Linked DNA regions of Danio rerio. The protein of the gene in region 2 interacts with the protein of the main gene of each other region in a pairwise test. Links are inferred from orthologs where the notes say so. Each region holds a gene or a part of one and is shown on either strand. Other genes may lie near its edges.

The links. The genes of interacting proteins can lie anywhere in the genome.
Region 1: the proteins of sh3d19 (region 2) and sh3yl1 interact in binary tests that used the Homo sapiens proteins (3 or more experiments, as listed by UniProt). The link is inferred for Danio rerio from reciprocal best matches to the Homo sapiens genes SH3D19 and SH3YL1.

What each region holds. Positions count from the first base shown.
Region 1 is NC_133192.1:32,057,938-32,062,171, reverse strand, and holds the end of sh3yl1 (SH3 domain-containing YSC84-like protein 1), read left to right. Parts: intron 1-1,522; coding exon of another isoform or gene 1,523-1,613; intron 1,614-2,555; coding exon 2,556-2,749; 3' UTR 2,750-3,716; downstream 3,717-4,234.
Region 2 is NC_133176.1:26,057,541-26,061,900, forward strand, and holds the start of sh3d19 (SH3 domain-containing protein 19), read right to left. Parts: upstream 2,954-4,360; 5' UTR 2,758-2,953; coding exon 2,682-2,757; intron 1-2,681. UniProt on the Homo sapiens protein: May play a role in regulating A disintegrin and metalloproteases (ADAMs) in the signaling of EGFR-ligand shedding. May be involved in suppression of Ras-induced cellular transformation and Ras-mediated activation of ELK1.

The DNA.
Region 1 (4,234 bases), on a different chromosome or scaffold from region 2:
GTTGTTAATGTCTCAATATCTACATGGTCATTTTAATGTAATGTCACCTGAACACTTGCAATTAATTCACGTGTAGTCATTTAGCAAACTTCCTTACAAATGAGCAAGCAATTAATTAGACCGTTGTTTCATAAATTTAATTTAAAATAGATATCTAAAATATAAAATAAATGCAGATCAATTTAAATGGTTTCAATTTTTAAATCAATTTATTCTCTTAATAAAAGAAAAACCATTTAAATTGATTCATTTGTTTGCCTATTAACAATTATGAATTACCATTTGGAAATCATTTTAAATATTATGTGTGAAATCATATTCATATTGGCATCCAATTTATCTAAATTGTCAAGTTGTAGTTTGCCTCTTCTGAGATTAGACTTCGCAAAGTCAAGGCAGCCAAAACTGCTGGTACTGACGGTAAACCTCTCTGGGTGCTAAAGTCTTTTTAAGAGTTGGCTCCTGTGCTATGCAATATCTTCAACACATGCATACAGTTTAAGTTTTTTTTTTTTTTTTTCTAAGCCAGAGATGCCCTAACTAGTTGGCCCATGGTAACTTTTGATTTAGCCCACCATCCTGTCTGAGAATGGTTTAGAGATTATCATTTCAAATTTAATGCAACCTATTATTTGATTGTTTTATTGTTAAGCTACAAAAAAGCCTATCTGAATTTAAATGTTTAAATTGAAATTATGTAAATTAATCGGATTTAGTTAATGTACATTGTTAATGTAGTACGACTGATGGAGGACAATGCAGAGACTTTGGTGCTCGAATCAAGGCAAATTCTGCTTGACTAGTGTATTCAGCAATGACTCCACTGTGTTAAACAGGTAATTTTATTATTTCAATAAGTTATAATAAAAAAAAGTTATACTGCATTTAGTGCATTAGTCAATACAGTTCAAAGTAATGATTTCGATTTATTTTTTAATATTAAGAAATTAATTCGGAAAATTACCCATGCCAACTTTAATGTAAAAATAGTTTGGTAAAGTATGTTTATCTTGGCCCATCGCTCTCAATGATATTTCGTTTTTGACTCTTCATACGAAAATATTTGGGCACCCCTGTTCTAAACAATGGAAGGAGACTATAGTCAAAGCCATTCCTAAACAAAAGCTAAGCCTAGTTTTCCAGCAGACTATAGCCAGATTCAGATTCAATCATGGTCAATTATTATGTTCCTTAGCTTACTTTTATGTCAGCCAAACTCTTTGGCTTATTGTGAGAAGTTATCTGACAACAGAACAGGGGGCTCCTGTGTGTCTGATTCTTTTTCAGTCCCAGTTTCTGTCCCCTCTGCTTTTTGTCATACTGTATGCATCAACAGTTTGGATCATAGTTTCTAGTGGGATCTTCAATTGGACTTACTTGGAAGGCCTTGGATTCCGTAGTGGGTTGGGGAGAGACTTTTAACTTAATGAATGGAGCTAAGACTGTGGATGTGGTAATAATGGTCAGAAAAGAAGTTTCCCTGAAAAGAACATTCTCTTCCCTCCATTTCCTGGTATCCCAGGACAAGCAATTAGTCGAGTTTCCACCTTTTTAAATTGCTGGATGTGCAAATATCTTCTGACCTATCATGGGATGCCCACGTTAAATACATGGTACGTAACAGAATGTACTATTTTTTTCAAAGCCAAAAAAGCAGGACTTCCTTGTGATGTTCTAATGCAAGTGTACTTGAGTATGCCAGTACAATCTAGGGCTGACTCCTTAAAGGTTTCTCTGAGGAGTTAAAGTAGATCCAAAAGTGATGTTGTTGGATAATGTACTTCCATTTTTCCAACACTGAGTGAAAGTTGTGAAGAAGCCACCATACGTACCCCCACTAAAATACTCAATGACAATTTATCACCACTGCATTATTTCCTGCTGAAGGCTCCAGTGTCACCCTACCATCTTCTGCGACTTAAGACATTTGCTATACCCAGGAGTAAAACTAAAACATCATGAACTCTCCTTTATTCCTTGTGCTCTTAAATTGATGTACAGATATTGTTTAATTCATGATGTCTGATGTTTTTTAATTATTATTTTTACTTTTTTAATCATGTCATATTTTAGTATTTTTATTAGTCAAATTCATTAATTTAGCATGTAGTTAATGTATGTACAATGTGTTGTGCATTTTTTTATTCTTAGAACAAGTATGTTTTACTTTGTAATTTTAAATTAATAATATAAAAAGGCTGCAGTAAATGTATCTTCTAAAAGCGTACTTATGCATTTATTTATATCTTGTTTTATTTCTTAATCTTAAGTTTACATCTGAGTATGTTTTACTTATTGTCTTGCAATTTTTACTGAAAAACTACTTTAAAAAAAAGTCAGTGAATAGCTTAAAATGAAGCAAAACAAGATACACTAAATATTTTGAAAGATTTTTTTAATTGCATTATTTTTGTTTAATTTACATTCTTATTTAAATATATTCATTAATAATTTTACTAACAGCCTAACTGTCATTAACTATGTAAAATTATCACTTGCAATTTTAAATGCTCTTCCAGCAAATCATCCCATTTTCTTTTCTCTCTGTGTTGTAGATCAGGCATCAGGTGGAGCTCTGGTGGTCACGGCTGTTCATCCATTCACCGGCCAGCAGCCTGGAGATCTGAGCTTTAATGCTGGAGACCGAATCACCGTTGTCACCAAAACAGACTCTCAGTATGACTGGTGGGAAGGTGAACTAAAAGGGCAGGTTGGGATCTTCCCTGCTAATTTTGTGTCATATAGTTAAAAGTTCTTAAAGCTAAAATGGATGACAATCTGGTATTGAAGGGTCCTTTTCTTTTGCACAGTTTGAAATGGTGTATATTTATAGTAGCACTTGTGGCAGGTGTTACCAACGGGTGTTACTTTAATGGGTTGTATTATTGGATGAAATTGGGTGCTTTTCTATATTTAATATATTTCCTGATTATAGTTTAATATATTCTTTTGATATTTTTATGTTGGCCGTTCACTCATTTTGGGTTGAGGATCCAGTTTTTTAGATTTCTATTTTTTTATGCCATAAACATAAAGAAATACAATCATGTTTGAACACAGTAATTGCAGTATGACTGAAGCACAATGTTTTTAAGCACCAGGTATTTAAATTATCATGCATAAACGGTATGTTTGCTGTTTGTTTTGCCAGTTTTGTTTCTCTGATAACAAAGCAGGAGTGTTGTTACAGATGACTGTTATGATAACTACTGAAATGCCTTATTTATAGTTTTATGAACTTTTTCCACTTAACATCTGCCTTGATTTAATATTACTTTTTTAATGGTGTTTTTAAGGAGGCTGAATGTTTGATCTTCTAACTAATGTCTTATCTAACTAATGTACTAAAAAAACATGAAAGATTGTTTTGATTAATAAAGCTTATCAAGATTTTAGCTTGCAATAATTTCTCTGTTTGTAAAAGTCGGGGGCTCTTAAAAATGTGTGAGACTTGATTGACTACAATTGCTAACAAATTGTGGTTTAGTAAAATAAGCTACATTACAAAGCAGTGTTTATAACTACCGCAGTAGGCTACAATAAAAATGCTTTAAGAAATGCAATGTTACGACATCCAGAAGCACGTCGGGCTGTTTTGTAGGCTTTTAGGCTGTTTTTGTATAGGTAAAAACTGACGCGATTGAGACAGCCACAAGTGGCCGCACGCTGCATAATATTCCTCATCCAGCTAAATAAAAGGCGGTTTGATTCCCATAGATTGTGAGTTGTAACATTTCTTAACCACAAGGTGTCATAAGAGTTAAGCATATCGTGTTCTGAGTTGGCTAAGTGTCAAATATGGAGCCGTTTCTGTTGTTGTTAAATTCTAAGTAGCCTAAGTTTTTTGAAAGACATTTTTAAGCTGGAGTTGAACAACTAAATGTGAGGTTAAAATTTCATAAGAAAAAAAACCTTGATTTTACCCTTGAGTTACCTGATTTTAAGACTAAGCTAAACTGAACGAATATAAGAAAGAGAATCTGTATACTTTTTTTTTTTTTTTTTATAACATTTGTAGATTCTAAAGAGGCCATTATAACCATATACAGGATGTGAATCGTTCTTTGAAGACCATTTTAATAATTTAAAGACATTTTTACACTGATCTCAAATCGCAGAATAAAATCTCTAATAAAACAGTAAAAATAAAATAAAATAAAATAAAGTGCACATTTAATCAGTGTTAAAGACCCTTAAACATGGCCATTCTTGAAGCACTCTTGTTGCAACTGCA
Region 2 (4,360 bases):
TAAAAATAAGCTTCTCCTGCTCACCAAAGCTGAAATTTCCAAAATTCCCATCACTAACATCAAGACTGACAGTGTGCCTGGAGCAATGCATTTATCAGCACTCTTGAAACAACGCTTAACCAACCAAATCAGAGGACCAGAACTAAAATTGAGTAATGAAATATTGTAAAGTCTGAACATGTTTATGAACACGGGACTTTCCTGGTCGAACAGTTTATTCAGCTAACATGTTGAAACTGGATCATCTTTTCATGACTTCATGAGTGAAGTATTTGAGGATATGAGTAGGTAAAAAGAGTTTTGGGTACACCTATGTTCATCAATAACCACATATGTCAAATGTGTTAAATGTCATTTTCTTTATTTGAACAACTAAAATATTGATATAAACTACTGTTCAAAGGTTTGGGGTCAGTAGGATTTGTAAATGTTTTAAATTAAGCTTCTCCTGCTCACCAAAGCTGCATTTATTTCATAAAAATTCAGTGAAAAGGTGTAAAATTGTGAAATGTTATTTCACTGTAAAATAACTGTTCAAATGTAGTTGATCATTTTACTTAATATTAATTAATGTAATTGTAATAAAAACAATAATGACTGAAGTAATAATTTTATTTGAAATTAAATACAATAAGAAAGCGTTTAATTTACTTTGATTTAATTTAGTAAATGCCGCCTTAATGAACAGTATATATATATATTTTTAAAAACATGAAAAAAACTGGCCCCAAACTTTTGACCGGTAGTGCAAATTAAACATATAAATGTAATAAAAATAATATTTTATGCTGCTATATAAAACCTGGAGAGAAGCCAGCAGGCAAAAGCAAAAATTTTAGTCCTCTAAATGTGAAATTTCACTGACACAGCAGCCACCTCTGCAAATAAAAGCCACTCATTTACTAGGTAAAGTGGGAGTTGATTTTTGTATGCTTTTAAGACAGTGAATTTACATCTAAATGAATCACTGTTCAATTAATTACTTTGTGCGAATTGATCAAAAATTCACTCTGATTATTACTTATCTAATAATGCAACATTGAGATAGGTTCAATTAAAAATCCCCATCATTAACATCAAGACTGACAGTCTGCCTGGAGCATTTATCAGCACTCTGGAAACTACACTTCACCAACCAAATCTGAGGACCAGAACTAAAATGAAAATGAGTAATGTAATATTGTATAATAAGTCTGAACATGTTTATGACCACGGGACTTTCCCGTTCACACATTTTATACAGCTAACATGTTGAAACTGGAGCATTTCTTCATGACTTCATGAGTGAAATATATGAGGATATGAGTAGGTGAAAAGGGTTTTGGATACACCTACATGCACACATCTATACCCACTGAAACCAATTTGATATTTTCCTCTATGAACAAGCATTAAAACTAAGCCCACTTTACAAAGCTGCAGACATATAAGAGAAAGTTTAAAATGTTTAATATGCTGACTGTCCAGACAAACACATGACACTGCACAGGTGCTATACTTTCAGACAGGCTGCGACAAGCACAACTGCTGCCTCATGTTTCCTCACTCAGAGTCATGTCACCTGTTCAGTGTCAATAGAAGAAAGCTACAACCTGCTGTTTTTTCTCCCACTCACAGCTGACTCAGCCATACATCTAGAAACTAATGCTGAGGGAGCAAGAGGAACTTTTCACCCTAATTCACTTTTTTACAGTTTGATAATGGTTTTTAACCAATTACAAGTGTTAAATGTTTACGAAATATATTAAAACATTAAGTATCAAAAATTGACTTTTTGTTAACCCGCTGAATCTTAAGATACTTATAAATGATTATTGATGCATCAAGCCATTATTTACCACTTTCTTTGACAGGTTTCTACTTATTCTTGGAAGCAACATCAATTTCTTGGAGATTGTATTTTTCTTTGTCTATTACTAAATATGGGTCTGCAGCATCAGTTAAAAATATTTTAAGTTATGTTTTTAACTTAAGTTATTTTTTTTAATTTCACACATGCAGGAACCCAAATGTCTGTATTTTTTGTTTATCATAGAATAAGAATAGGAGATGCAGTTTGCTGTCATAATGTTTCTGAAATTTGTGATAAAAACTTGCAAAAATCACTTTATACATTTTTTATTGTTAAAAATGAAGTGTTCAAGTCAATTATTTTTTTGTACCATTTAAAAATGATGAATAATAATTGCACTCCAGAAAGTCAAAAAGAGCAGGCTAATTACTGTTTTAGGCAGTGTTGGGTCAGTTCCTTAAAAAGTAAATAATTTCAAAAAGTAAATAATCTCAAAACATACAATACATTGTAAATAATTTCTTACATTGATTCTTTAATGTCAACAATGTACCGTTATCTTAACAATTATAACATTCCTTAGTTGAAAAATGGCATGATTCTGAAAAATAGGCTATATTTGAATAACAAAAATAGCCTAGTCAATAATTAGTTTCTCTAAACTGATTTACAGAGGAGTGCAGAATTTATTTGAAGTAGGATAACTGAGTACATTACACTGTGGTTAAACTGCATAAAATTATCCAAGTTATCTCTTTATTTAACTTTCAACGGACAAGTTATTTAATTACAGTAACTACAAGCAACAGAAAAATAATCCGTTACCGTACTCTACCTAAGCTACGTTTCAACTTTTCCATAGTAATTGCAACAACAACAATTGTCCTACCTGTTGAATCTCTTCTCCTCGTAACAGAAACATTTGAAAAATCTTCACTTCCATCACTACAACGGGCTTCAGCCATGAGGTATAACCGCACGTCTTTCTAATAATATTTAGACTTTTTTAACTTGAGGAAAAAAGCTATTTGAAAGATTTTGAAACAAACTCTGGCGGTGTGTTTTGTTTCAGCAAAAAGCCAGGAAGACTGTTAAACAGTCAAAGACTGATGAACGAAACCCTGCGGTTGGCGCGAGCATCATGACAAACAGAAGGGCGAGAGAGAGATCTGTGCACGCGCGTCTTTTACTGCTCAGCAGAGGGCGGAGAAGATTACATTGATTTTAAACCTTTCTGTGAAACATTAGACTACACAAAGAAATACGTAAAGAAAAAAAAGTTGTGATCCTTAGCTATTCAGAAGTGTCATTAAACAAGAAGTGAGTCCAGGCCAAACGAACTTTGTTTTATAATTTGAGCAGCCTGGAGAGTCAAATTAAAATAAACAACAACAGTTAACAATTATTCTTTTTAGCCATATTATTTATGCAAACTATTTATTTCAGTATTTTATTTTTATTTTGATGTCAACCCCAATTATATGAAATGTTGTATTCAAAATATCCATTTCATCAATTCACTGTTTCTGTCATTTACATTCTATCAGTTTTAAAATGAAGCATGCATAATATTCTGATTGTGAACAACTGCATGATTTCAAAAGGTTTATTTTATTTTTATGAATTGGCATAATATGCATCTATGTTTTTAAAATTTATTATAAAACGATCAGAATTTACATTAAGTTATAGGTCATTGCTAGAATATGTGCTAAAATAATAAATGTAGTATCACTCTTAATATATCATTCTTATTCACAATGCTGTAAAATATAATAAGGCCAAAGTGTTCTTTGGTATGGGTGTTTATTGTTTATCTTCTCAACTGCATTTTAACAAAATAGTTTTTACAGTTTTTGGCACACAAAAGTGTTCATGGAGCTTTTGAACACTGCCGTTGAACACCTGAAGTCAGTATAGGAATGTTTTGACAACCTTTTAAATATTCTGGACTATGAACTTCACTTGACCATTGTTGTCTATAGACATACAGTATATGTAGGGTGAGGGACGCTCTTAGATTTCATCTAAAATAGCCTGAAATAATTATCTTGTTTTCTGAAGATGAACAAAGGTCTCAGGGGAGTGGAATGATATGAGGGTGAGTAACAGTAATTATAATTTTCATTTTTGATGAACTAGTCTTTTAATGGCACATTGTGGGTAATGGGATAGTCACTTGGGCTACAAAGAAGTGTTTTAATTTTTTTTCTATGCACATAACAACTCAATGAATGTCCATTCTCTTTCATACTGCCACAGTGACTCAACATTGGAGTAAGGTTAAAAGCAGCAGTTACATCTTATGCAATACACATACAATACTGTCCAAAGTCTAATTCTTGGCCACTATATTCATTAACAAATTCAGTTTTTACGTCAGTTATTTTTATCTTTTGCAGTAGTTAGTCAGAAGTAAATAGCAATTTACATTTCCAAAACAATTTTTTCTACTCCTTTTAATAATCGAGTGACAGTTTTGATTGCTGATATCAGCCAATGCTCCACACAAAGATGTGATCTGCACCATCATCCAGTACACCTAGAAAAACATGAAGAAACAGAAAG